Linked DNA regions of Schizosaccharomyces pombe. The protein of the gene in region 3 purifies or fractionates together with the protein of the main gene of each other region. This does not show direct contact. Each region holds a gene or a part of one and is shown on either strand. Other genes may lie near its edges. The genes, in order: sol1, lsd2, rbm10 and ccq1.

Region 1 (8,254 bases), on a different chromosome or scaffold from region 3:
CGAACAGTCAGCAACTGATCTAATGCTATTGCAGCGTATGTGTAAACGACAAAGCTGGGCATTTCCAAAAAGCGTAAAATTGTAGGGAAAATGTCAATAAGCTGTTGGGAATTTAGCTGGTTGCGAAATGTAAATACATATTTAATATCCTCGGCAAGAACCATGGGATGAATGACGCCAGCAGGTTGTAAAAGATCCGGCTTAATATTATTCTCGAAAAAAGCAACAACGTCTACCATCAAATTAATAGATGTAACGCCGAGTCTTGTGGATTGACCCTTTATAGCAATAGCCGAAAAGAGCTGAAGCGCTACGTATTTTTTATTCCATTCAAGAGAAGGATTTGTTGAGAATTGTTGAAGATTAGCATTGATGTGAGTTGAGACTACACTCGTAATTTTTTGATCAAAGTGATCCAAAAGTCCACGAACAAGAACGATTGCGGATCTGGCGCGAGAATCACTGTTCGAACCTTCAAGATCACGGCGGACATATTCTAAAGGATCGTCTTCAAATAATTCTTCATCAGATTCCCGCAAACATATATTAGGAAGAACGACGAGTTCAATGAATTGTTGTAAAACTTGGTCTTGCTGGAAAAACTCGGCATGCTTGCGAATTCTAATGACGGATGTCAAAAATGCCATAGCCTTACCAACTAAACCATCGTATTTTTCATCAGGAGTCAAGGTTGTCAAAAGTGTCCATGTTACGTTGACGAAGTCATACAACATGGTAAACACCTCTTCGTATCGAAGGGTATATAGCTCGACGATTTCACAAATACTTGCTTTAACTTTAATAAGGACATTTGTCTCTCCTTCGTCACCCTCCAAGCTGGGGTTAGTGTAGGTAAAGTAGTTTAAGAAGGCGGTCATGAATTCGCTCATATGATCTTCAAAGAATTCCGGAATGTCTTGGCAATTCAAATCATAAAAAAGTTTACACTCCAAAAGGATAACCTGAAATAAACTGTTAAGAGACTCTGCATCTTGTGGACCGTTACGCAATAAGTTGTTGGTTTGCACGAAGAGAGCGAGAAATGGTTCGCAAAAACGATCCAACACATATTTGATCTCCAAAAAAAGTGCATCGCTACGGAATAAAGGTCTCCAGCGCTTAAAAATCGCATGTGCAGTAGAAAGTACAGCAATATTCGTGTTCATGTCAACAGCAGACAATTTAGATATCAGATCGGGGAGAAGAGTGTCCCACCGATCAGGGAAATCAAAGTTGGCAATATAACCAATTACTTCACCTAGCTGAACTTGAATAATGGTAGTACTTTTCAGCATCAAGTTGATTATTTCGCGTTTGATCAATTCTGCCACCTCATCGCTGATACGAATAGAAGCACCTTCCTCAGAATCCCAATGTTTTTTAATGTAATTTTTGAAATACAATGAAGCGGCCAGCTTAATATTGATGTCTACTGTATCCTCAGCGACAATATTGAGGAGTTTTAGTGCAAAAGAACTATCTTGTAATTCCCATACTTTCAGTGCTTCCTCAGCTATATCAGTTAGTAAATTTGCTTTATCCACTCTGTTGGGGTATCTTACCACTTTTGGAAGTCGTAGGGTTTAATGTTCTCGCAAGAAGAGTTGGAATGTCATCCATAGTTTTCCTACAGGGATTGTGGTTAAGGGCAGATTTTGAAGGACACCGACGTAACTAGAACAATTTCTCTAACATCGTTATAGAGAATTTTTAATTCCGGTTTTATTTATTAAATAATTTTCTCTTAAGTTTGATATAGTTAACATCTTTTAATTAGTTTGTTTGCTTCTTTTTCAGGCTTGTTAATGTAATACTTTTCTTCGCTTAATTTTTGTTTTTTTTTCTATTAAAACACCCTAATATACCAATATTTGTAAATAAATAGTTGGACTATACTTGATAAATTACTTAAAAAAGGAATTAAAACTAATAAAATCTATAATTCATTATCAATAATTCAAGGGTTCACATTTTAATTATCAGCTTGTAAATACCTAATTTCCGAATTACTTGGTTTTAGTTTGCAAGCTCATTAAACATTTTATGAACCGTCAGAATAGAAATCGCTTTATACGTGGACTTGAAAGTTGTGTTAGTTGACTTTTGTTTCAAATCTAATTCTTGTTTATGCCATCAAATTCTACATGTGCAATATAGCATCTCCATCTTTATCTCAAATACTACAAACCTTTTTTTATTGTAGTATTTAGTTTTTTTCCTTCTTGAATCGGATATTCCTTTTGCGAGTTGACTTGAAACCATAGATTTGCAAAAGTAAATAATTAAGTCATAAACATATATATTTTACACGTACAAGCCCTTGTCCATAGAGTTCAACAACCTAAATCCAATTGCTTGATAATAGAAATTACCATATTCTACTATCTTGTTTCATTCATCAATAGGTTTACACATATGAAAGCACGTTTATAGAAAACAATGAAATTTATAAAATGACATTGCGTCGAGTCTTATGTAGCCAGAAAGAAAGAAGGAAAAATAATGAATAAAAAATAAAAAAAAGGTTAGACCAGATAAATTTGAATTAATGTGTCAATTTTGATTGCTCCTTTCAAAAAAAAAAAAAAAAAAAAAAGAAAGAAAAGGAGGATAACGGGATCTCGAATATGTTAACTCATATGCTTTTACTATTTTAAAAAAAAAAAAAATAATTTATTAAAAAAATATCTGTTTCCGCAAGAAGAAGATGTTGTACTCGTGATTGTTTACAGTTTCGCCAAGTCTACTAACAGAGCAAGTTAATAAATATTGTTTCTATTACAAGAGGAATAAGATATTATTTTGTTTTTAAAATTTTAGATACCTGACTAATCGATAAATGCTTCCCAATGCTAACAATTGTCATTGACTTGGAAATAAGAGACACTGCAAAGGCAAGAAATCACGTTTGCGAGATTTAAAGGAATGAGTGTAAAGATTTTTTAGGAATTTAAGCATTTTCTGAAACACACAGATTAGGTTCTTAAAGGCAGCACTAAACAACTCGTTATATGCACTTCGTCTGCTTTTCAAGCACTTTCAGCTGCCAAGCGCCTTAGACGTTAATATATTGAAACGTGTATTTTAAGGTCCCTTTACTCTTTGTTTGATTTAGTATGAGGAATCATGAATAATCAAGGGTTTGTTCCTGCGAGTGATTATCCAACCGCAGTATCATATCCCACGCAAGGTCAAAGTTATAATACTCAGGAAGAACAACCTGCGTATCCTCAACGCTTTTCGACAAGCCAAGGGATGTATGCAGCAGAATATGGAAATGCAAACATGATGAATACTTCCGAGAATGAGCCTAACAATTTGGCTCATTCACAGCCCTTCCGACAATCTCCATCAACTCAACGTAATTTGCCAAATCAATCATTTGATTTCGCCTCTAACGGTGCATGGAATGGCTCTGGATCTGTGAAATACTCTAGTCCCATGATGCCTTCAAGTCGGATCCCGTTTCAACAAGAAAAAGAGGCTGCAATGCAGCAGCAACAACAACAGCAACAGCAGCAACAACTTTATCAACGACAAATGCAAAGCAGAGAGGCCTTACTCTCTCAACAAATTCCTCCTAATCAAATTGGCATCAATGCCCACCCAGCTGTAAGACAAACTCCTCAACCTGCACCTTCCCCAAATACTCCCTCTGGTAATGCTAATCAACTAACGCCTGCTTATGCTGCTAGTTTTGACAAATTCATGGTTAGCCTTATTTCTTTTATGGAAAAGCGGGGGACGCCAATCAAATCTTATCCTCAAATAAATAATACGCCTATTAATTTAATGATGCTGTACGCCTTGGTTATGCGTGCCGGTGGATCTCGACAAGTCTCAGCTCATAATTTTTGGCCAAAAATTTCTGCTTCCTTGGGGTTTCCATCTCCTGATGCTATTTCCCTTCTAATTCAATATTACAATTCCTATCTGCTTCCATATGAAGAAGCATGGCTTGCTGCTCAACAGCAACAAAAATCACTTCAACAAGCAAAAGCTAATCATTCTGCGAATGTTCAAAGCAGACCAAAAAACTATCCACAAAAGCCGGTCCAAACCACCCCAGAAGCTGTACATGCCAATGGTTCTATGCATGGATCACTTCACTCAAAGTCACCCTCCCCAGCATTCACCGCTAATCGTTTCTCTCCAGCTGCTCCTACCACAGTTAGTTCTGAAAGAAATGCTCCACCATACCCTTCTGCTCCGACTCGACCCACTCCGCCCACCGTTCAAACTTCTTCTTCGGCAGCTCCTGTTGATTCTGCCGAACCCGTTGCTTATCAACCGATAAAAAAGCCCATCGATCCTATGTTGGGTTATCCCTTGAATGTCGCGGCCACGTATAGGCTCGATGAATCTTTGCTTCGGCTTCAGATGCCTTCAATCGTAGATCTGGGGACTGTAAACATTCAAGCCTTGTGCATGAGCCTGCAATCTACTTTGGAAAAAGAAATAACGTATGCAATGAACGTTTTACTTATATTAACAAATGATCAAAAATGGATGTTTCCGTTAAGTGAGTGCCAGGATGTAGTTGATGCGTTGATTGACGTTGCAACTCAGTGCCTTGATAATCTGCTATCTGTTCTTCCTAATGAGGATTTAATGGAAATCGCCGATAAACGTCCTTCTTATAGACAACTTCTTTACAATTGTTGCGTAGAGATATCGCAGTTCTCCAGAGAAGACTTTTCAAATTCACTAAGCGAAAACAAAACAAAAGATAGCATCAATGCTATTGATGTTCATAATTCGGAGCAAAATTTGTTAGCTGTTTTCGTTATTTTTAGAAATCTCTCTCACTTTGAGGCCAACCAAAACGTTTTGGTACAAAATCCAGATTTTTTTCCTCTACTCATTCGTGTAGTCAAAAGTCTTAATTTTCATGCCACTTCCCTTCTACGTTCATCAAGAAATACCTTGGATTTGCATAAAGATGTATTAATCGTACTTTGTCAACTTTCTCAAAATTTCATTCTACCGAATGTCGACGTTGCTCGTCACGTTTTACTATTTATTTTGTCTTTTTCTCCATTTAACAGAAAGAAGAGTAAAACTATTTTAAATGACACCCTTCCAACCTCTATACCTAGTTACACACCTGCTACCCATCCCTATGCTGGTCCCGCCATTAATGCCTATGCCAAATTACTAGCCAAAGATGCTAACAACAAGACAAACTTTCAAGCTATTTTTGATAACAATCCAAAATTTTTAGACTCCCTTTTTCTACTTCTTGCTTCTGTTGTCCCAAAATTTAACCGCCACTGCCTTAAAATATGCGAGCGAAGGTTACCCTTATTGCAGCAGTCATTTTTTTGTTTAGCAGCTACCGTTTCCTATGTTAAACAATCGGAACAAGCGGCAAATTGGTGTAATATAGGCGAGGGATTTTTTGTTTCCATGTTACGCCTACTCATACTATTATCAGGTCATCCTTCCCTTAATCCACCATCACGTGTAGCATCGCAGTATCCTACTACGAATCCTTTTCGTTATGTGATTCAGAGTGGCATATCTACGGTGCGTCGACTTTTGAGCTTAGTGGAAGCTGGAAATATTTCATTATCTTCTTTCCCCAAAAGTGAAACTCTCCTCGCTGTTTTGCTGGCTCCTACAACAGAAACCTCGTTTCTAAAAGAGATCTCAAATTTATTGGATCGAACTGGGGACAGTGATGCGTCTTTAGAAAATACGGATGATAAATCTGGCATTTAATTTGTAGATAATTTTCCAAACGTTTAATATTTTTGTCTTCATTCTAGTTAATCTGATGCGTTTCTGTATGTATATTGTCTAAACATGCTTTCAAATTTTTAGAGATGATTTATTTACTTTATAGAAAGACTACTTAACCTATGTAGAGTTAATTGCCATTCTACGCATTGCAACAATTTTATTAAGAGTATTTTCAAGCAATTCTAAATAGACTGAATTCAATAAATCAACCAGACTACAATTTCCATCACAACAAGAAAAAGTTTAACTACTCTATATTGGAGAACATGATAATCAACCTTTATCACCACTACAACTACAAGCCAAACACAACACAAAAAAATTTAATTAAAAAAAAAAAAAGGAAAAATTTGCAAGATCAACATCAGACATCCAAAGGAAGGACTATGCACGACATCTGCGGCAAAATTGGGTTCGTATGCCGCTCCGGGGAAACTGCGAATGTTCAATGGAAATTTCATCACCTGTTGATCAATGCAAAAAAAAACCTTCGCCGAACAATCCAAAAAGCAATACAGCACTATATATGTTTATAACTAAAAGGATGTAAAGTCCAATCTCCACCATAACTCGTACGTACAGGAGTAGCTACACGAAAAACACACATTATTTTCACCATACAGAACATACACGTTTAGTTCGCGAGTTTAAGCATAGCAAGAAATTTGAAAGTTTCGCACAAATACACCTAAAAAAGAAGTTAGTACACTGAAAGATTATACACAATACAGAGATTACTAAGATACTGGAACAACGAAAACAATTCAGACATCGAAGATACTGGCAAGTATGGTCTCCACCTATAGTGGAGACAAAGTTATCGTCATAGTCGATAGGACGGGTAAAGAAGACATAATAATATCATCAGAACAGCTTCGTTGTACTCAGACATCAATCAGCATACGGCGAACATACCTTTACAAACAAGTTTAACAAGGCACTTAAAGAACGACAAAGATTCAGTTTGAGTTCAAGGTTTCAGTATGCGTACGGGATTTACCCCCTACTAAGCTTTAACACCCAGTTAATCTCAAACTATAGTCAAAAAGATACCACAGCAAGCGCAAAAAGGAATATGGTAGGTTTTTCTACCAACACAGTACCAATTACTGCACCAAGATGACTTAATCCCAGAAAAACAATAAAGCAACCATACACGACAGACATACTGTACAATCAAACGACTAGAATCAGACTAGAATCTCTCCAAAAAATACAACACAGATACAGGCGAACGCTTTCCAAGAGCCTGAAGGAGAACCATCCTAATATCAATAAATGTAACACACAAAATACAAGCCATTTACGATAAGAACCTAAGCCTTTCAACATCAGATAATCAATCAATAAACCTCTTGTCTCCACTACTTTGGCGTCCTAGCATATTAATTTGATGTGGCTCCTTCAGACTCATGGAAGTAGAACGTTGGCTTATGAAGGCGTCTGATCGGTATATATACCTTTTAAAACCCTAACCCTGCTTCATCCTCAAATTTCTGGAAGGATGTGAGTGGTTGGGGAAGAAGTGTGTAGCAACCGTTGACATCGCTTGTGTCCAAATATGCACTTTTGCGCATTACGGTGGTGAGGTTTGCAGTACGGTATATGGACAGAACGTTTTAGAAAGTAGCAAGTTGGAGTAATGTAACAAACTATAACAAAACAACTCTACAACACTTTTAAATTCGATATGTGTTTATAACATATTAAAACGCGAAAAATGGAAGTACATTAAATAGGACAGCGAGATTTTTATTTTTCTTTATTCATCGTTATATGTTTTCTTTTCACAACCAAGAACACACTTTACAGTTCTCATCTAGAAAATCATGTGTTGAGTAATCTATTAAAAATTTCACAACTCTTCGACACAAAATTTTTTTATACCTAAAAAATCAATGATAAATGACCGTAAAAGAATTACCTGCTTTTCCTTTTCTTTGAAACTAACTCTCGTTTCATATAGTCAATTTTGTTACCTCGTTACACTCACGTGCTATAGTGAGAAATATTTAAAGTAAGTAAATAAAACAGCTAGAGAAACATTAATGGAGTAGTAATTTTCGAAAAACGATATAGAAATTAGACCAAAGAATGAATTAGTAATCAATTTTAGTTCTAAAAAAAACCATATTAATTGTAATCAGTATTATCAAGAAATACTAACTGTGCTGTTGTTCTGTATAACGAAAAAATTTTGATGAATGATTTCTCTTGCAATATCGCATTCATTGCTTTTTTTCAAAATAAAGTAATTCGAGATACATCAACTATATCAAATCTTTCCTGAAATCAAGCCTTTTTTACTTAATTTATAAACATTACACTATGCGACACCATTTAAAAAATTTTTTTTGGTTGATTTCGAGGTATACAAACACAAAACTTAATACCGATGCAAAATTTTTATTTCAACAATATTTAGTAAGGGCAATGATTTTGATGATCTTCAAATTCAAGAACTAATCATCAAATAAGTAATAATGTATAGAGACACTGAAAATAAATT
Region 2 (9,797 bases), 1.1 Mb from region 3:
ACATTTTTTGCTTTGCCATTCCTTTTCATAGGATAGGCTCTTTGTTTTCTGCGAGTCGGTTTTCTATTTATTGTATCTTTAACTTTTTAACTTTGTTGAAAAGTTTCCTTTAACACTCTGTTAAAACTTTCACGTTCTTATTTTTGTTCTTATTATCCCATCCGTAGTATCTCTCGTACTACCTTTGAAATTTGGTGCCTTGGTACTTTAAGGCTTTTATTTTTTGTTGGTTTTACTGAACAGTATTACCTTTCCTATTTCTTTCCTTTTTTTGTCCTATGCTTGTTGTGTTTCCGTTAAAATTCCGGAAAATAAATCATTCACGAAGTTCTGTCACCTTTTAACATATTCTCTGTTAATAGTGATTTTTGAATTCACTTTTGGAGATTTATGCTTTTTTGCATCTCTCTCTGACTCCTTTATTCCCTTTTTATATTTATCATAATTGGAACGTGCGCATTCCTTTCTCTCCATTTTAATATTTTACACATATTTTTGTTGTTTTTTTTTTATCAAGGAAGAATAATTTATTATTTATAATTTCTTGTCAATCCATTACGGAAATCTCAAAATTTTTTGAATCCAATCCATCGGTTCTCATCTGGGTTCAATCAATTTTGCAATTTGTACATATCGATACAATCGTTTTCTTGTTTTTTTTTATTTTCCATTGTGAATAAGCTTGGATCATTTCGTTCAGTACAACTCACTTAAAGCTAGCATTTACTTTGATTCGTTCGTAATTAACTTTTTTACATATCACCAAAAAAATGGCTGCGAAACCTGCTCCTTTTGGCCAAAGTTGTTCCAACTGCCACAAAACTACTACTTCTTTATGGCGTCGTGGCCCCGATAATTCCCTTTTGTGCAATGCTTGTGGCTTATATCAAAAACATCGCAAGCATGCCCGTCCTGTCAAATCTGAAGATTTAAAAGACATTTCTCCACTGATACAGCAAGTTTGTAAAAACGGAACCTGTGCTGGAGATGGATTCTGTAACGGTACGGGTGGCAGTGCTTCATGTACTGGTTGTCCTGCTTTAAATAATCGTATAAGAAGTCTCAATGCTTCTAAGTCTCAGAGCGGACGCAAAAGTCTATCTCCCAATCCTAGCAGTGTACCCTCTAGCACTGAAACCAAAGCTTCGCCTACACCTCTAGAATCGAAACCTCAAATCGTTTCAGATACCACGACTGAAACTAGCAATGGCACTAGTAGACGACGTTCTAGTCATAACCAGCATGAAGACTCATCTCCTCCTCATGAACCAAGTGTTACTTTTTGCCAAAACTGTGCTACCACAAATACTCCTTTGTGGCGCCGCGACGAGTCGGGTAATCCGATCTGTAATGCTTGTGGTTTGTATTACAAAATTCATGGGGTACATCGTCCCGTTACCATGAAGAAGGCAATCATTAAACGTCGAAAAAGGCTGGTTTTTAACGGTAATGCGAATGAGTCGCAACACAACTTAAAAAGAATGTCAAGTGGGGATTCCGGATCTTCCGTTAAGCAACAGTCTACAAGGGATGGTCCTTTTTCTAAATCTTTTCCCAATGGTAATGGCCATGCTTCTGGAAATTCTGGTGAAGGTCTGGCTGAGCATGGAATGAATACTGGAGTATTACCTCCGGCTAGTACATTTCCTTCATACAACAGCAATTTTACCGGGTTCTTGCCTTCTTCGTTCAATCCTTCACCATTGATGACATTGTCACGGTTAGCGGCTGGTGAACCTGATAATAATGGGAAAGTTTATTACTCATATGGTCCTACTCAGGAACAATCAATATTGCCTCTTCCTGAGAACAAGCATGAAGGATTGCCTCCTTACCAAAATGAGTATGTTCCCAATGGTATACGAGCTAATCAAGTAGTATACCCTGGTCAGCTTGTAGCAGTTGGCAATGATTCTAGTAAGCAATTATCGGAATCTACAACATCGAACACGGATAATAATGGCGTTGCAACTGCCAACCAATCCAACCCCTTAGGCATGAAGTTTCATTTACCTCCTATCCTTCCTGTTGGCGAGTCAGTCTGTTTGCCTCCTCGAACTTCTGCAAAGCCAAGGATTGCTGAAGGAATTGCTTCCTTACTTAACCCCGAAGAGCCACCCTCAAATTCCGACAAGCAGCCATCAATGTCAAATGGACCGAAATCAGAAGTTTCACCTTCGCAATCTCAGCAAGCTCCTTTAATCCAATCCTCTACCTCGCCGGTTTCTTTGCAGTTTCCTCCTGAAGTTCAGGGATCAAATGTAGATAAACGCAATTATGCTTTGAATGTTCTTTCGCAATTGCGTTCTCAGCATGATTTAATGATTCAGGAGTTGCACAATTTAAATCAGCACATTCAACAAATAGATGAATGGCTGAGGTCCTCTGACAATGAAAATATGGCTTCTGAACATATTAAATCCTCAACCCCTGCTGTTGTTGCATCTGGAGCTCTTCAAACATAAACTTGATTGGCATGTTTGTCGTGCGGCATATTTATTTATGGTAAACAAATTAGATATTATCCCGTTTAGCTGTCTATTACTTACAAGCATGACATTGTATACTATGAGTTTAGGGTAAAATACTTCACATGATTCTTATTGGTCTTTTGTTTTGCGTTAGTTTTGGTATTGGCCAAGTCCGTCTGCGGTGTTATATTCGTTAAGAGCTGGAAAATAATATTCAGTCCTTAGCGATTTACCGTTAAATTTAGAGTTAACATATATGTTTTTAATGAAATCCTATGTGGAGCATTTTTTATGATATTAATACGCATCGAAAAAGCAGATATTGAGAAAAAATAATACTACCGGATTTATATGGTATGTAGATAGTTAATATATTAAATATATTTAAACTGCCCGAGTGCAAACTCATTTGGAAATTGTCAATTCATTAATATATTTTTACAATTTTTCGGGGGAAAAAACATTTGTATACAACTATTTAAAACGGAAAATGGAGTTGCTTGTAAAAAGCAGTATCCATGGTTAATTAGTTCATTCGCAAAAAGTCATTGCTTGACTTTTAAAACTATATGATTAGGCTGAAATTTTAATTGTTCATTACAGCACATATATAAAAAACTTACACTTAATTTTCAGCTCAAATAACTTCGCTATTCATTATTTAATCTATTTAAATCAATAATAATGTAATTATGATATATATCATTTAGTTTTTCTGTTAACAACCAACAGTCCCGTGTTCTAGTGGTATGATTTCTCCTTCACACGGAGAAGGTCCCGGGTTCGATCCCCGGCGGGACTAGACTTTTTGTAAAATTCAACAATAGCGAACTTGAACCATAATGAGATGTTTTAGTATAATATTGATAAACAGTTAATCTACACTACTACTCTAAACATCCTAAGCTTTTCTGAATCTTAACAGCAATGTAACATATTTTTGGATTGTTATAATAATTTACTCCATTTGTTCTATTCTCCGCTGACTATACTTTCAAGTGTATTGTAATATTGTTTTCTGCAAGTTGAAATCAACGAGTTTAGGTAGTAGTCTTTAGCATGAAAGAGCTAACACATTAATGCAATAATTTGGAAAATGAATACAAATTAATGAACTTCACATTTTTCGTTCATCATTTCCAAAGTGTTAAGCCTGTAGAAGAGAGCAAATGCGATCGTAGAATAATACTCGCAATATGAATCAGATAAATAGGCAATTGAATGCCTCTCGGGCGTTCTTCATGGTATTCAAATAATTAAAGACACATGTATTATCTAAAAGAAAAATATAAATTCTGGATAGTCTGATAGATGATTGATTGGACTTGACATAAAAATGCTTATAATATTTGTCGTTATCCCATTATGCTATAATATTTAGAACGATATTTTTTTAACGAATCGTTAAGGATATGTTGCGCAAAGTACTTTGTAAACACCAAATCGAGATTCAATGAGATTTTACCACCTCGGTTCACTTTGATTGTATCTTTTTACTCTATGAACACGAGCGAGAATGATCCAGATGGTCATTATGACTTTCCAGAAATGACAGAGCATCATTCTGACCGGGCTTCATCATATGCTAACGCCAACAACGTTAATTCAACTCAACCTCAATTGGTGAGTAGTGAACAAGCGCTTTTAGCTATTTTAGGAGGTGGATTACAGTCTATCACACCTAATTCTGTTAATCAGAACGCGTATTCAAGGTCAACTTATCGTACAGATGGCGGCTTAAATTCACAGCCAGTTAGCTCACTGAACAATCAATGGGGAAACTATAATCCAGCATTTTTACCTTCTAGATATGATTCCTCTTTTCACCCTTACACAATTTCGCAAGCGGCTAATCAACCATTTCCTCAGCATCTTTTAGGCAATTCAAATGCAGGTGTCGCTCAGCAGTCTGGAATGAGAACAATTGGATTACCTCCAACTGTAGGTTCCTCTTTTCCTCAACAAAAGTCATCCACATACGAAAACTTTTTTGATGCAAACTCTCCGTCTTCTCAGCAATTTCCATCTACATATCCTTCACGATCACAAAACCCGCTTTCTTCCAGTGGAGATGGTTCAACGGCAATTCATGCAGGCCCCATTCAACACCAAAACTCAAATGCCTTTTCCAATTATCCGTATCCATTAGACGCTTCTCATTTATCTTCTCAGCAACTTTTGTCGATGTATCGGGATCAAGTTTCTCATGGAGTTACCCCATCTACATTCCGCAATCATGAAAGTTTTATGCCTACACAGTTGGTATCAGCAACAGAATTATCTAAAAGTGTTGATAACGCAGTTTTGCCAATACCACCTACTACTGCACCGGCAGTTGTATCGCCTCCTGCTTCATCTTTCCCTTTAATGTCTTCAGCTGCTACATCTGGTAATATTAGTAGTCCTGCACTTTTTGATTCAGAGTTAGGTGCTAGGCCTGAAGGTTCTGTTGCAATTGAGCCGTCTAGAGTACTGCTACAATGGTCTAGTCAATCATCATCTCATACTATACCATCTGCAGGAGCCAGTATCCCTACATCTTCTTTAAAGTCGTTTTTTGAGCATGCCGCTGAAGCAGCTCGTAAATGCAATCTCGATCCGAGGGCCTTAGAAAGTTTTGAACAACACATGCTTTCTGATCGTTTACACGATCCCGTTGTATTATTTCATTATTTCCAAATTCGTAACAGCATTTGTTGGCTTTGGATTAAAAATCCTACGCATGCCATATCCAGAGTTGAAGCTCAGGGCGTATGTGTCGATCGATGTTTGTTCCAATTAGCCTCTTTAGCTTATGAATTCCTTGTAAGGTATGGATATATAAACTATGGATGCTTGTCCTTTGATTCATCCTTTACGAATGAAACTAATACTGGCACAACATCCAGTTCTGCATCGAAGCAGAAGACTATTGCTGTAGTAGGCGCTGGTCTTACTGGTTTGATATGTGCTAGACAACTTACTGGCTTATTTTCTCAGTATTCTTCATCTTTTTTGTCAAAGAATGAGCTTCCTCCTAAAGTTATTATACTTGAAGCTAAAGAAAGGACAGGAGGTCGTATTTACTCTCGAGCATTGCCTGTTTCTCATACTTCGGCTACCCAAATTAACCATCATACATCTAATTCGAATTCTATTTCTAGTAATTCCACTTCTTTAAACCCCAAGGATGTTACTGACCCGTCCCATATTCCTTCAGCAATTGATTTGGGATTTCAATTTTTATTTTCGCCTATGGACGATATTTTGCTTAACCTTTTAAATAAACAATTGGGTATTGAAGTTACAGAGATGACTGGCTCAGATTTAGTTTACGATGAGACCGATACTAAAGTATTAGACATGGTTGAGGTGAAAAAATTAAACATTTTATGGGAAAAACTTTTGGAATATGTTTCTGTTTGCTTTTTTATTAACGTTGAGGAATCTGTTCGTATTTCTTGGATATCCCAATTTCAGTTGTTTATAGATGAAATGTTCCCTGATCATTTGTCCAAATCACTCTCATTAAATGCGTCACATGAATTTTCCTTCAAAAAAACAATGCTAATACTAATTGATGAAGTTTCTTCTTATGCCAAACTCGGGAACAGTCAAAAGAAATTTCTGATATGGTGTTTTAAGGTCGCGGAATTGGACGATACTTTGTACCCTCTTAACACAGTTGATACAGACTTCTCCAAAGATATTTTGATTCCAAAAGTTGCTAGAAGAGGTCTATCTCAACTGCCATGGGCATTACAATCTTATCCATCTCCCTTAAATATTCATTATGAGAAGTTTGTATCTAAGGTAACTATTGAAAATGATAAATGTACCCTTGATTGTAAGGACAACTCTTCTTATGAGGTTGACCAAGTTGTAATTGCTTGCTCTCCTTCTCATTTTTCTTCAAATATAGAGTTTTCACCAGGTCTTCCTAATTTCGTGACTGAAAACATAAAAAGTATAGATTTCAAACCCGGAAAAAAGGTAGGTTTTTATTTATTTATTTTTTTTTCAATTATAAAGTTAACATTGAGCAGGTTATTCTTCGTTATGCAGCTGCTTTTTGGCGAAAGAACATTAGATCATTTGGTATTATACCAAAATCATTAAGTCAAGAAATGAACAATGATGAGAATGATGGTAAATCTTGTTTTGTTTTGAGAATATGGAATATGCTTCCTGAAACTGGTGTCCCAATATTAGTAGCGGATATCAATCCACAAATGACAAGTTCTTCTTCTAACGAGACCTCCCACTTAATTCAAGAATTACACAGTCTAATAGTAGATCATTTTCAAAATGATTCAAACAGCTCAGCTGATTTATTAGATGCTTGGGTCACAAACTGGTCGAGAAATGGTGTCTATGACGGCTTAAATTCTTATCCAAATTTTGCCAATGATAAGCAGCAATATGAAAAAAGATTTAGGCAAAGTCAGTTATCGTATAATTTGGGTCGCTTGCATATTGCTGGAGACTATATATTCAGTTGCGTAGGCTGTAGGACATTACAAAGATCCTTTTTATCTGGCCTTTCCGTATGTACAGGGATTATTGATTCATTGGCTCCAATTTCCTTAACCATACCTATCATTGGAGAAACCTCTCGCAAAGAATTGGATCAGTTTTTGCGAAACTCTAAAGTTAATAATTTTGATCCCAATGCTGAAGCACAGCGTCACCTTTCTTATCAGGCAAGATATAGGTTGAAAAAGCAGGAAAGACTTGACGAGCATAAGGAAGAACAGGAACAGCTTGTAACTGAACTTCTTGGTTATTTACCTGAACCTCCTTCCAAGCCGAATGCAAATCCCTTTTTACTTTACCAAAAAATGCAGTGGCATGTATGCCGTGCACTTGCTGATGAAGACAAGCGAAGGTTAACAGGAGATAGTACAGCGAAGGCTACTATTAATGAAACACGTGCCAAACTAGGGAAAACTTGGCGCCAGCTTGATGATTTAGGTAAAAAACCTTGGATTGATGAAATTGCAGCACAAAGAGAAGCTTATGCTGGAAAAATTCTTCGTTATCAGCGCCTAACTAAAGAATATGAAATGAGAGCCGAGCAAATACGAAATGATTATGCGGCCAAATGCCAAGATGAACCTATTCCCGATGATGAAGCAAGATTGTTTATGCAAGCTCAACGAGAAGAAGAGCAAAGAAAACAAACTCAGGATGACAACATTTCCAAAAGTCGAGAGGCTAGCGACGAAGAGTATCATGACGATGGATCTTCTGATTCGGGTTATAATGGAACACGATATTAAAAGAAAAAAAATCAAATCACATATTGTTTTTTAAAAGTTTAGTTACTTCGCATCATTACAAATACCCTTAAAATTTTATGTACATATATATTCTCGTCATGCCCTAAATGAAGCATTTTATCAAATTGCTAATTTCAGCAAATTGTTTAAGGAAAATCTAAAATACATGTACACTTCTCGTTAGCCAGTAGCCAACCTGATTTAATGCCGAAGATGTAAGAGATAAAAGATGATATCGTAAACACAGCTACTACTCTCACTCTTTAGGATGTAATGCATGTTACCATTTTGCCATTAACATAATATTCAAGCAACAAATGATATTACTAGTACGCTTGTGAAATAAATAAAAAAATAAGTTATTAGAAAAAAAGTAATTAAAATTAACTAAGAATCATTAAATTAAGCCAAAACAGATGCGGTTGTATTTGTTGCAGACACCATGGACACTATGTATCTCAAAGCAAGTACTACAACGAAATAGTTAAAAAAAAAACATAAGATGCATATGATATTAAAATAAAATAATATAAAAATGCCGAGTTATTGACTCCAGTCCATATTTGGACATGTATAATTAAAAGCATTATCCAAAAGTTAATAGGAGATGGCATCTCAATTGTCAAAAAAAAAGTGGTTGTTATAAAGACTCGTAATTCAGGAAGTCTGTTATAAATAATTAAAGAGACTGTAAGACTTCATTGATAAGAACATCGAATTCTTTAGCATACGCCATGTTCAAAGCGTGTGGATCTTGTAGCATATTGTCGTCAGGCAAAGGGGAGCTAAGACTTGAATCTGAACAGTATGATACGGAATTAGATCGTTCATAACCCATTGGCAAAGTAGCTAGATACAGAGCATTGGATGAACTTCTTCTGGAAGGCGATACGGCACAGTGATTATTATGAACTTGATCTTCAGCAGTAGGCAAGCTTTCAGAAAATGATAGATTTCTATGACATGAAAGAGCTGAAAAGTCACCGGAAGAAGATGACGAATGACAAACTGTTGTAGCAACAGTCTTACCAGGAATACTGTACATATTGGAATTCTCAACCACCTCTTCTTCATCCATAAGGTCGTTTGGTTCAATCTTAAAGGTCAACTTCTCACCAGGTGCTAAATTGACAAAGGTGACGTTGTTGTCTGGTGAACAAATGGTAGAAGGAGAAACATTAGAATTGGTGAGTGGAGAAGATAAAGGACTAGGTTGATTTCCTGCCAAAGATGGAGGTGAAACGCCGTGTTTAACAGGACAAAACGAGGCAGTCGGAAGTGAGGTAATGCTTGACATTCGACGTTGAGAATTGAAAGAGGTATTCGGGGCAGTGTAAGAACGCTGAGGGAATTTATAAAGCATCGGAGGACCGGTACCCGAATTATTATAAGCATTGGATTGCGAGTCAAAACCGTTGGATAGGGTTACAGCGCTACTAGGCGTACTAGGGCAGCAAGGCGATGGACGTGACGATATGGAAAGAGGATTCTCATAATGTGACTGAGGACTGAGGTATGACTGCTGATTTTGATACATAAAAGCAGAAAACTGAGAAGGAGTAGGTGGAATGGGGGGTGACATGGAAATGGGAGTTTGAGGTGGATCTGAGGCTGAAGAAACAGAAAATTGACGGCGGGGAACGAAAGGAGCTACTGAGGAAGAGGATGAAGATGGAGCTGTCATGGATGAATTATACTGGAAGTAGGGATTAGGAACCATAACGGGGGTATGAACGGAATTCACGGAAGAAGAAGAAGATGTAGAAAATTGAGAAGTATGAGTAGCAGAAGAGGTGGTAATGGGAGCGGGGTTGGAATTGAAGGAAGGTTGTTTATAGAGAGATGCAGAAGGAGTAACGGAATCAAATTCCGGAAGTTGGAATGTCTTAGCAGAAGAACCGAACGATGAATTAGCACTCAAAGGTTTACCGGCCAAATTTGGAGGAACCATGATGAGTTCAGCCTTTGCACTTTGAGAAGAGCCAAGAAAGGCATAACGCTTACTGATAGTGGCTTTGAGCATGTAGCAAATGTTGACCATGGAATCATTGGACTTGGAACAAGG
Region 3 (4,157 bases):
CCTGTCTATTTTACTGACGCTCAACGTAAGGCTCTGGAATCTGCTGCCAATGAAGCTGGACTTCCAGTTTTGCAGTTGATTCATGACCCGGCTGCTGTTATTTTGGCCTTAATGTATTCCGAAGAGGTTCTGATCGACAAAACTGTTGTGGTCGCTAACTTTGGTGCCACTCGCTCTGAGGTCTCTGTTGTATCTGTTAAGGGTGGTCTAATGACCATTTTGGCTTCAGTTCATGATGAGAATTTGGGAGGTGAGCAATTAACTGATGTGTTGGTTAATTTCTTTGCCAAGGAGTTTGAAAAGAAGAATGGAATTGATCCTCGCAAAAATGCCCGTTCCCTTGCTAAGCTCCGTGCTCAATGTGAGATCACTAAGCGTGTACTTAGCAATGGTACTACCGCTTCTGCTGCTGTAGACTCTTTGGCCGACGGCATCGACTTCCATAGTAGCATTAACCGCCTTCGTTATGACCTTGCAGCAAGCGCCACTTTAAATCGCATGGCCGATCTTGTAACCGAAGCTGTTGAAAAGGCAAACATGGAGCCTTTTGATATTTCTGAGGTTATTTTAGCTGGTGGTGCCTCCAATACTCCCAAATTAACTTCCTTGATGGAATCCATTTTCCCTGAACAAACTATCATCCGTTCCTCTAGTTCAGTTACTCCTTTGCAATTAGACCCTTCTGAACTTACCGCGATCGGTTCCGGTGTTCAAGCTTCTTTGATTGGGCACTTTGATGCTGCTGACATTGCTGCTTCTACTGATGCACAAGTGGTTGATGTTCCTCACCTTACTGCTCCTATCGGTATCAACGAAGGTGAGAACTTTGTTACTATTTTCGACATCGAGACTGCTTTGCCTGCTCGAAAGACTGTTGAGGTGATTGCTCCTAAAGAGGGTGCTGCCTTTATTCCAATTTATGAAGCTGAGCGTTCAGTAAAGGTTACCAAAGTTGAACCGGAGCCTATTGATGAGGAAGAGGCATTTTCTGATGATGAAGAAGAGGAGCCAGAGGAGATTAAAGAGCGTATCGCTATACCCAAGACTTTGATTGCCACCATTACTCTTCCTGATGTTTCTCCTAATGCCAAGATCGAGCTGGTTCTTCAAATAGATGCTGAAGGGAAATTAACGGCAAGTGCACGTCCTAAGGATGGCAAGGGAACTAACGTTCGTGGATCTACTGCATAATTTTGGCTTGGCTATAAAAAATCATAAAAATTTATCTATGTCATAGTTTTTTTTCTATGTCTGATCTGTTGAGAAGAGGGTTTAGGAAAGGAAAGCTAGAATAGCTGGTAGACTGTATTAAATTAAAATTAAATTACACGGCCATTTATGCATATAAAATGTTTGATTTTTTCATTCATGTGACGTAGCAATATTTTTCAAAAACTGACAGTTTAAATTGACTTACTGAAAGTAAATTTCATGTACTATACTTCAATAATTTTATTCAACTTCCACTTCGTGATTTATATTGAGAGAATGATATGATGTTGCTGCAAGGAAATGTTGGTGGTGATAATTTTATAAGTATACGACGACACATTCACCTAATACAAACAAATTATGTTTGAGATGGTTGGAATAGTTTTCGTTTAGTTATAAGACAGACCATTTTAAATAATTAAAACTCGTTGTGGACATGATGAAGGATTATTATTCAGAAAATGGTTTTGAAGAAATTTTTGAAGAGAAAGGTTCGACCAGCAGTAATATATCGGACAATTGTGCATCTAGAGATTACGATGTAAATATTAGTAGTGACAACCCTCGTTTACTCGATTCATATCGTCCGAAAGGAAATTATGGAAGGGACAGGAACTCACCCCTTTCTAGACACATCGGTGTTCCTAATCAAGAAATCATTCTTCAAGGGTTGACTCCGGAAATATTAGAAGAACATGTGTGATTCAGACTTAATTTTTATTGAAGGAAATACTAACAAAAATGCGTGAAGATTGAACTTGCGTTGTACGCCACGGGTGCTAAAGTTTCTACTGTTACACTAATAAGAGAGAAAGAAACACAAAAATCTCGCTGTTTTGCCTTCGCTAAATTTGTTTCCTTACAGGATTCTAAGGATTGGATGGAAGCCAATTTTCCAACGCTGGTCATCGACGGTATTGATGTGTCTGTACGTTTTTCACGTGCGGCCAGAGAGCAGATTGAGGGTTGGTGTTGCCAAAATGTAAACAATTTTAACAATTAATATTGTTTTTTCACATATAATTTTTTTTTACTTACTAACTGTTGGAGTAGTGTGATATTCTAAATTATTCATATAGAGAGTCTTGCTTCAAATGTCGTGTGCCAAGGAATCAGGCTTCGATTGCTATTGGAAATCATAAAATCAGTAAACGGAATGGCGACATGGATGTAAGTGATGTACCCTCAGTATACCTTATATTACGAAACCTTGACCGTTCACTTTCTGAAGAAACGTTATGGAAGGGACTTTCCAAATTAGAAATTGACGTCCAAAGGGTTTTCATGATTCGATATAAGTTTAATGATGCGTTTTGTGGTTATGCCATACTAGAATTTAAAGATGTAGATGAGTCAGCGAAAGCACTTATGAAAGCCCGCACGTACCCGGGAAAGGGCTTCACGTTAGCTTCTAGGAAAGTGTCTGTTGATTACATTCATGATGGAGTTTTAATTCCTGCATATACGGAATCTGCAAGATGGCAATTTCCTACAAAAACTGGTTATCTCGTTTATTGGGACCCAGAACTATATTGCTCGATCTATGTTCCTGAAGGCATTGATACAGATCAGTTTAAACCAATTGAAGTAAATAAGAAACCAAAAAAAGAAAAGCGTGCACGATCATCCAATTACATAGATGTACCTGCTTCTAAGAAGGTATGTGTCTTAATGTTAGCATAAACCTGCTGATATGTATAGGTTGCCACTTCATTGCAAAGATGGAATGATGCGCAGAAGGAATTAAAAGACAATATCCCTGATCTCTCTGAAGAAGAAGAAAAGTTGCTTTTACACTTTGTGTGGAAATCGGCTTTAATATGCGTTTTGTGTGAGCGAAAGTTTCAGAGTTGGGGCCATGTAGTAAAACATATTACTCAGTCTATTATGCACAACAATAATCTGAAAAACCACGAACTTGTCTCTTCTGCAGAGCTTTTGATGCACCGAGTTCGTCAAACTGAGTCTGTTGATTACAGAGATCGCGCTACTGAACGTCGAATAGTACCTGCTGCTTCTAGTGATACAATAGTTGAGGCTAAAAAGTCATCTCAGGGCTCAAGCTTTCACTCCACCTCTAATGTTAGCATGAAAATGCTTAATTCTATGGGATGGAACAAAGGAAGTGGTCTTGGTACTAACGAAAATGGGATCAAGGAAGCTATTCAACCGACGATGTATTTGCCCGGTGTTGGACTTGGCAACAAGGGGAGTAAAATACAGATCAACATGACTCCGGTTGACAGAGTGAAAGACCGAGCAAGGTCTTTGTATTTTCAAAATGATAAAAACAATAATTTATAATAGGGAATTTTTTTATTTGCGTCGAAAATCTCTTAATATTACAGTAATTTAATACCATGATTTTATGTCTCCTACTTATGCTTATTGTGTTTGAGGAAATACAAATTTTGTAAAGTATGGCAATTCAATACTAAACGTCTAATATTCTATATAAAGTAATTTCCCCTTGGTATATTAAAACATTGGAATTCCGTACAGTTTAAGAGAAACACTTTATTTTTAACCGTATATGCCCTTCAGGTTACATTTCTAAAGTTTCTATTATTTTGAAACTACCCAAAGTCAATCAAATCAGTACTGAGTTAAATAGGGTAGGGTTTTTATGTGACTGCTCCTGTAGATACAAAACAAGCATTTCGCGAAATTGCAAACTGTTTTTACCACCTACAGTTTATAAAGTAAAAGTAGTCCAAAACAGGTATGAAATATTAAATATTACAAGATGTGAGCGGAAGTCTATTGGTACATTTATTCTTCAGTGAATACTTGAACCCAATGGGTGGAACCTTTTTTTCTTGAAATCTTTAAACAAGACACTCAAGAAAACTAACGCGCTTCTCGTCAGAAACACAAAATGGTTCGTCAATCTGTTCTCGCTGATTGTTTAAACAATATCGTCAACGCCGAGCGCCGTGGACGTC
Region 4 (6,691 bases), on a different chromosome or scaffold from region 3:
TCATGCTTCTATAGAATCTTCCACTTAAGTTCATCTCTGCATTCTGTTCAAATATAGCTTCCAGTTGCCGTTAGTTCTAATTTATGCTTTCTACGTACAAGCCTTTTGGCCTATTTTTAGGTATCCTTCATTGTTCAAACTAGTAATTAGATTAATAAAGCACAAATTTGAAACTTTCAAGAAGCTTTTTCATGTGATTGCATAGAATGAGAAAACCCAAAACTTAATCCTAATCGGCTAAAAAACTATGTTCTCAATACACTACCATTATTAATATACAATAAATCCAATTCTCATTTTACGAAGCAAGAGCAATTAACATAAGCTAACCGAGCTCTTAAGAAATCTGCAAATAATTGTCGAGAGCAATCATACAAGGATGCTTCACGTTTACGGTTTAGCAAACTTTGCTAGCTCTTCAGTAGAAATAGAAACAAATTTTACACAATTATAAAAGCAAACGTTAAGTAATTAGGGAAAGAAAAAGGAAAACGAGAAGGACGATGAATTTTTAATGCATATATTTTTATAAAACAGTAAATAAGGTATTAGAGTAAAATATGCCATATGTGAGTACATTATAATAACGAGGGAAGTAAACTAACGTCTTCGAGGAGGCTTTTGCATATTTTGAAATTGATTGAGCATACCGCTGAAATCCATACCACCTGCCCCTCCGGGACCTCCGCCTCCCATCAACATGTTAGCCATTTTTGAAATATCACCAAAGTTCATAGAACCTGGATTGAGGCCAGGCATTCCTCCCCCCATACCCATGGCTTGCATTCTTTTCTGCATAGCTGCAAGTTGACGAGGGTCTTTTTTGAGAGCTGCGGCTGGATTTCCACCAAGTTTACCCAAAATTCCATCTTTTCCTCCTATCTTTTTCGCCATTTGCGCAAATACTCGGACCTGAGAAATGGTTTCTTCTACCTCTAAAACGCTTGTACCACTACCCCTTGCAACACGTAAAACACGAGAGGGTTGTTCAACAAATAGAAGACCATCCGAATCTAACTCTTGTTCGGTCATTGAATCAACGATGTAGAGCATACGCTTCATACGCAAAGATCCCTCCTCATCATTCATACCGTTCATCATATTACTCATGCCTGGAATCATACTAGCCATTTTACTAAGTGGTCCCAATTTCATAATATTTCCGAGTTGATCTCGAAAGTCTCGGACCGTAAACTTTCCTTGCTCAAGATTTTTAACCATATTCTTTTTATCAAAATCTAAAGACTGAACGTGTTCCATCAGACCTTCAAGATCACCGAGTCCGAGTAGCTTTGAGATAAAAGAACGTGGAGAAAAGCGCTCCAAATCATTAATATGTTCACCGGTACCAATGAACACGATGGGTGTCTTAGTCGCAGCCACGGCGGATAAAGCACCACCACCTTTGGCATGTCCGTCCAATTTTGTGATTATTACAGCGCCAAAGTCAGCAGTCTCTTTAAACGCTTTGCTTTGAGATTCGGCAGCTTGACCAATGCTAGCATCTAAAATCATAATTGTTTGATCTGGGCGAATAGCGTCTGAAATTTCCACCATCTCAGCAAACAACTCCTGCTCCTGCTGATGCCTACCAGATGTATCAACGATGATAACGTCAAATCTATCGTTTTTGAACTTATCAACACCTTCCTTGGCAATAACGACTGGGTCAGTCTCGGTGTAACTACCAAAGTAAGGAACACGTGCTTTGATAGCATTCTGCTTTAATTGATCAAAAGCACCAGCACGGAAAGTATCGGCAGCAACCAAACACGATTTCAAACCTCTCCTTTGGTAGTGCAGAGCAAGCTTTGAGCATGTTGTCGTTTTACCACTGCCTTGTAAACCTACCATCATGATCACTGAAGGTCTCCCTTTTTTAGGAGTAAAAGCATCAACTTTAGGGTCAACCAAACTGCAAAGTTCATCAAAGACAGCCTTCTGGACGATTCGCTTCCCATTTATACCCTGAGGCAAAGTTGATACATTGATTTTTTTCTTAATATTTGAACGTAATTCTTGAACCAATCGCACATTAACATCTGTTTCCAAAAGTGCCGTACATATATTTTTCAGCAGAGTATCGACAAGCTAAATAAAATTATTAGTAAAGGTTCGTATTAAAACGATAGATATCCTAATCAAAACAGAACATTGGGAAAACAAACTAGAGGTCATTAAAAAAATCTTCAGCTGCCTAAAAGTTGCTTGGTAAGTAAACCCTTTTAGTAACTTGAAACCAAAATCTAACATTGCATTATTAAAAAGGGTTTTAAATTTTCATGTCAAGGTAACGTCGATGTAAACGAAGATAATCCCAATATGCAATCAAGATATATATATATAAGAGATTGGATAAACCAGCTACGCAACTAGAAAAGCATATCTGTGGTAGATGATTTTTCTTATCGACAAATTTCGTAAAGCATGAAACGATGTTCATATACAGCGTGTAAAACATGGCAAATGCAAAATTTTTGAAGAAATCAAGCAAAGATGTATTAAATATTTTTATAAATGACATGGCTCACTCTCCGTATGAGAACAAATTTTCGATAGAATAAAACATACCTCTTCATTCACTGAAGTGGCCTTAGAAAAGTCCCCTAACGCAGAGTTCAAACGACGCCCTAAATCTGCAAAAACCATTTTGTCAGATTAAAAACTTCCAACCAGGCAATTTGAAGTTCGTCAAATGTGGTTGGTAGAGGATGAAGTCGTTAAGGACATGCAGTGTCTTCAAGCGAAAAGTCAATAGACAATTGAGGCAATATGATAAATGCCTAAAGATGAAGTAAAGAAGAGTTTGATATTATCTTTTTAAAAAATATTTTCACTGAGTTTAATACCGAGTTATTTCGCCTGCAAGCTTTTTATTGTTTTCAGTATAGGTGATATATCGACAGGATAGCGCAGCACAGCATTCCTATATAATACCTTGTTTGTATAATATTTTAGAATTAATCTATAGCAAAAGTTCAGTAGGTATAATCTTAAAAAATAAAATACTTATTAAGATTATACTCATGTGTAAAAGTGTTTGACTAGGTCCTGACAATTATTGATGCTTCTCTTTCTCACATTTGTAATAGAAACACGAATCGTAAATTCCGTGGTGGCTAACTTTGTCCCACAATCTTTTGATTCATACTTGCTGTAGTTTGTGTTTTAAGACGCTAATAGAAAAAGATCTAAAAGATTGATATTTGAAACTTTTTATATATTTTTCAGGCGTATGTTCTTATTCACCTTAAACTTTTTTGGAATTTTTCGTGCGTTAATCCAGCAATTAGTCTTAAGATCCAGTTTTTCCAAACTTCACGAAGGAAAGCACTTCCAAGTCCTTATAAGAGCCAGAATGAATTGCAATTAGCTGTTTTTTCAATATAAGACTAAAGATAAAGAATCGTTAACCCCTTAACACAAAATTTGAAAAAGAAATAACATTTACTACGCGTTATGGGTGAATAGTTATATTTGTTTACATAATAGACTTAAATAGAGAGGTGACGCGTTACTTTATTAAAATAAAGATTTGTTATATGAAAAAAAGTAATTAGAGCTCTTTTAAATGCTGTAAACATTTTCCGCTACACAGTGTATTTCGTAAAAATATGTACAAATTTAAAGGCGAACACGGAATTCTGGGAACAACATTTGGGTGGTTATTTGTAAAAACGATAATAAAAGACTCTTTTTAGACCATCTAATTCCTCTAAACGTGCGAAAATTATTTCTTTTCGGACGCTAAATTGGTCTCGTGTTGCAATATTTAAACATTCAATTTCTTGTTGAATTTTAACGTGGATGGCAGTATGAGCGAAATTAACGACTTTACGAATTCAATTATTATCAATGAAAGTGATACGAAATACGAGGTTTACTCTGAGGTGAATTCCAGTAATAGATGGATTGCCAAAGAGGATTGCCCTAGCCCGTTGGAAGATGTATGGCTTCTAAAATTAGCAGGCCATAAGAGAAAATTGGAAGAGCCTCTAAGTTGCATGCGTAATGAAGAACCTGCATCCAAACAAAGAGAGATAGAAAAATTTTTACGGACTGATTTGGATCACTCTGAAAATGACTTTTTAACTCAAGAGGTCGATGAATTCCCTTCTACCCAGCAGTTATTTCCTATTCCTTTGCAAAATGACACTGCCTTTGATTCTTCGGAAGAATCTATTACTAAATCTTCTAAATCCTCGTTCAGCGTGCTAGATATTGGCCTTCCAATGTCTGCGCTTCAAAGGAAAATGATGCATCGGTTGGTTCAATACTTTGCCTTTTGTATTGACCATTTTTGTACTGGTCCTAGCGATTCAAGAATCCAAGAAAAAATACGTCTTTTTATTCAATCTGCTCATAACATTGCAAAGCATCCTAGTCTGTATGATACTGAAGTTCGAAATCCCTCCGCTGCTGAATCCACTAATTCCCACGTTTCTTTAGATGCTTCTAATTTCTCTTCATATGCCGAAAATTCTTCAAAATTTCTTTTTTTGCAAGAATTATTCAAAAATCTTTCCCCCTCTTATTCTAAGACATTTTTTTTATTTATCTCCAACCAATTTCTTGCAAACACACTTACTCAATGGCTAAAATCTCAAAACATTGATGCTGAGTTATGGGCTGAAGAGGATGCAAAGACTAGCCAACATCCAGCAATTTGGATTTGTGTGTCCAAAAAGGCTCCCTCCGCTTCTCATTTTCTTCAATCTTGCCCAGATTTGAGTGCAACCATTTTTTATGATATCGAAGCATACATGAGTGTCACTAGTTCCTTGCCCTCTATTCAAAGCCTTGTCCTTAGGCTCATTCACTTGGGATCTATAGAACATGCCATAAAATGTTTTCAATCATCTTACAATGCCTCATTTTTAGTGAACATTGTGGGTGTGGTTGCCACTCTTAGTTCTTCTTCCGAGGAAAATTCAGAAGCTTCAAATTTGAGCACTTTGTTTGAGAAATCTGGGAACTTTGAGGAAATCCTAGGCTCAGAATCTCACTCTTCTATTACAGAAAAAACTCGAGATATTGCTAAAAATGTTGCGACCTGGTTAAAAAATGGAGAAAACTTCTCTTCTTGGCCACTACCTCCTCTAATGGATTTAGCAAGCTTATCGGTTGCAGAACCAAGGGATTCTCAGCCTTCTGTTTCTCAGGTGAACGATACTTTTGTCAAATCATCTGATAGTACATTTCCTTCGTCGCAAAGCATGCAATCACCTTCCAAACTCCACTCTTTAACAAGTAATGCCACCGATTTACTGTCATCAAGCTCACTAAAGAAAAACTTTTTTTCTCAACAGGAAGCTGATGAGGTAGAACTTTCCAATAATTATGATCTCCAAGGTGCAGCTGTCCAATACCTGCAGCGTCGTTTAAGAATGGTAGAAGATGAATTACACGAAGCCATTAATTCCAAAAACGTACAACAAAGTCGCTCAGAGGAGTTGGAGCAGCAAATTTCTAAGCTGACGGATAATTTACAAGAATACAGAAACACTGTTCGAGAGCTCAAGCTGGATTTGGAGAAATCGAAGAAAAAGAATGAAGACCTTTCAAAGCTAGAAGTTGAGAAGGTTGAAGAAATCGCAAACCTTAAAAAAGAGCTTACCCACTTAGCTAAGCAACAAGAATTTGGCTTTAAATATGTACAAGAATTTTCGAATGAAGATCTACAAGGCAAATTAATTGAAGCCAACGAAAAAAATTACAAACTTACTCAACTGTTAAAAACACAGAAAGAAGACGCTGATTTCATTACTAATCAATATCAAAATGCATCTACTTTTGCTGCTGAGCAAAGCAAAGAGGTTGCGAAACTTCAAGCTGAATGTAAGCGCTTACAAGCTATAAATTCTAAAGTTATGGAAGAGGTAAAAGTTTATAATGATTCAAGGGTAGAAGCATTACTCGCTAAGGTCTCTTCTCTGGAGGAGACCTTAAAAATTTTAGAGCAGAAGTCTCTTCCCAAATTTACTCCACATAATCAATCACCAAGGATTATTGATTCTAACTAAATCATTAACGATCAAGAACTTCAGTGGAATCAACTATAAAAAGTTCGTTTAGTCATACGGTTATTTGATTAAATTATGTCGTAATCAGCTTTTAATGAAACAATTTTAATTGTATTAATTTTTCAACAGTTGCAAAAATATATTGGTTTTCTTCATATATTCATCAAGAAGTTAGACATTTCGTTACATACTAGATTCAATGATCTATGTCATTAATTTTGAATTTGTTTTTGAAAGATTTTAATTGTATCAAATTCGAATATGCATCCTCAAAAGATGCAATATCAACATTGATGAAATAATTTTTTATGCTTCATATCATTTTGTTATGCTCGCAATATCGAACCTGTATAAAACTTCATGCACCTTATGCTCAACAGGTAAGGACCAAACAACCAGCAAGGATTGTAAAGCCTTTAAATACTAATTTTTCATCTGAATAGCACGGTCGAGTATATTCGGCTTCTTACTATCTTTCTTAGCACGATCCAAAGCCAATGTACCGTTTAGTTTTTCAACAACATCATATGTAATGTCTTCATCATTCAAATAGACAACTCTATTGTTATCAAAATCCACCACACAGAATTTAATAACGCTGAAAATGCTTTCTGGATACTGTGTGCGAGCTGCAAGACGTAGTTTTGTATCGATGAATTTTTCCTGGG

The links.
Region 1: the proteins of rbm10 (region 3) and sol1 purify together in Schizosaccharomyces pombe (affinity purification with mass spectrometry, with the first as the bait; one study listed by BioGRID). This does not show direct contact.
Region 2: the proteins of rbm10 (region 3) and lsd2 purify together in Schizosaccharomyces pombe (affinity purification with mass spectrometry, with the first as the bait; one study listed by BioGRID). This does not show direct contact.
Region 4: the proteins of rbm10 (region 3) and ccq1 purify together in Schizosaccharomyces pombe (affinity purification with mass spectrometry, with the first as the bait; one study listed by BioGRID). This does not show direct contact.

The regions. Positions count from the first base shown.
Region 1 is NC_003423.3:1,306,597-1,314,850, reverse strand, and holds sol1 (SWI/SNF complex subunit Sol1), read left to right. Parts: upstream 1-3,048; 5' UTR 3,049-3,126; coding exon 3,127-5,724; 3' UTR 5,725-5,779; downstream 5,780-8,254. Other genes in the region: karyopherin/importin beta family nuclear export signal receptor Kap109, read right to left, coding at 1-1,513, 1,563-1,620.
Region 2 is NC_003424.3:442,799-452,595, forward strand, and holds lsd2 (putative histone demethylase SWIRM2), read left to right. Parts: upstream 1-3,971; coding exon 3,972-6,443; intron 6,444-6,496; coding exon 6,497-7,732; 3' UTR 7,733-7,928; downstream 7,929-9,797. Other genes in the region: Fe-sensing transcription factor Fep1, read left to right, coding at 771-2,465; meiosis specific arrestin family membrane adaptor Ste7, read right to left, coding at 8,412-9,797. UniProt on the Schizosaccharomyces pombe protein: Catalytic component of the SWM histone demethylase complex that specifically demethylates H3K9me2, a specific tag for epigenetic transcriptional activation, thereby acting as a corepressor.
Region 3 is NC_003424.3:1,512,123-1,516,279, reverse strand, and holds rbm10 (RNA-binding protein), read left to right. Parts: upstream 1-1,545; 5' UTR 1,546-1,651; coding exon 1,652-1,909; intron 1,910-1,963; coding exon 1,964-2,194; intron 2,195-2,265; coding exon 2,266-2,871; intron 2,872-2,913; coding exon 2,914-3,516; 3' UTR 3,517-3,597; downstream 3,598-4,157. Other genes in the region: ssz1 (putative heat shock protein Pdr13), read left to right, coding at 1-1,191; rps2202 (40S ribosomal protein uS8), read left to right, coding at 4,091-4,157.
Region 4 is NC_003421.2:1,482,488-1,489,178, forward strand, and holds ccq1 (shelterin complex HEAT repeat subunit Ccq1), read left to right. Parts: upstream 1-3,652; 5' UTR 3,653-3,815; coding exon 3,816-6,023; 3' UTR 6,024-6,191; downstream 6,192-6,691. Other genes in the region: signal recognition particle subunit Srp54, read right to left, coding at 601-2,091, 2,572-2,649; ubiquitin hydrolase Ubp5, read right to left, coding at 6,447-6,691. UniProt on the Schizosaccharomyces pombe protein: Component of the meiotic bouquet that facilitates meiotic nuclear reorganization of the telomeres to the centrosome. Links telomeres to the meiotic centrosome component pcp1. Essential for the formation of normal telomere clusters during meiotic prophase.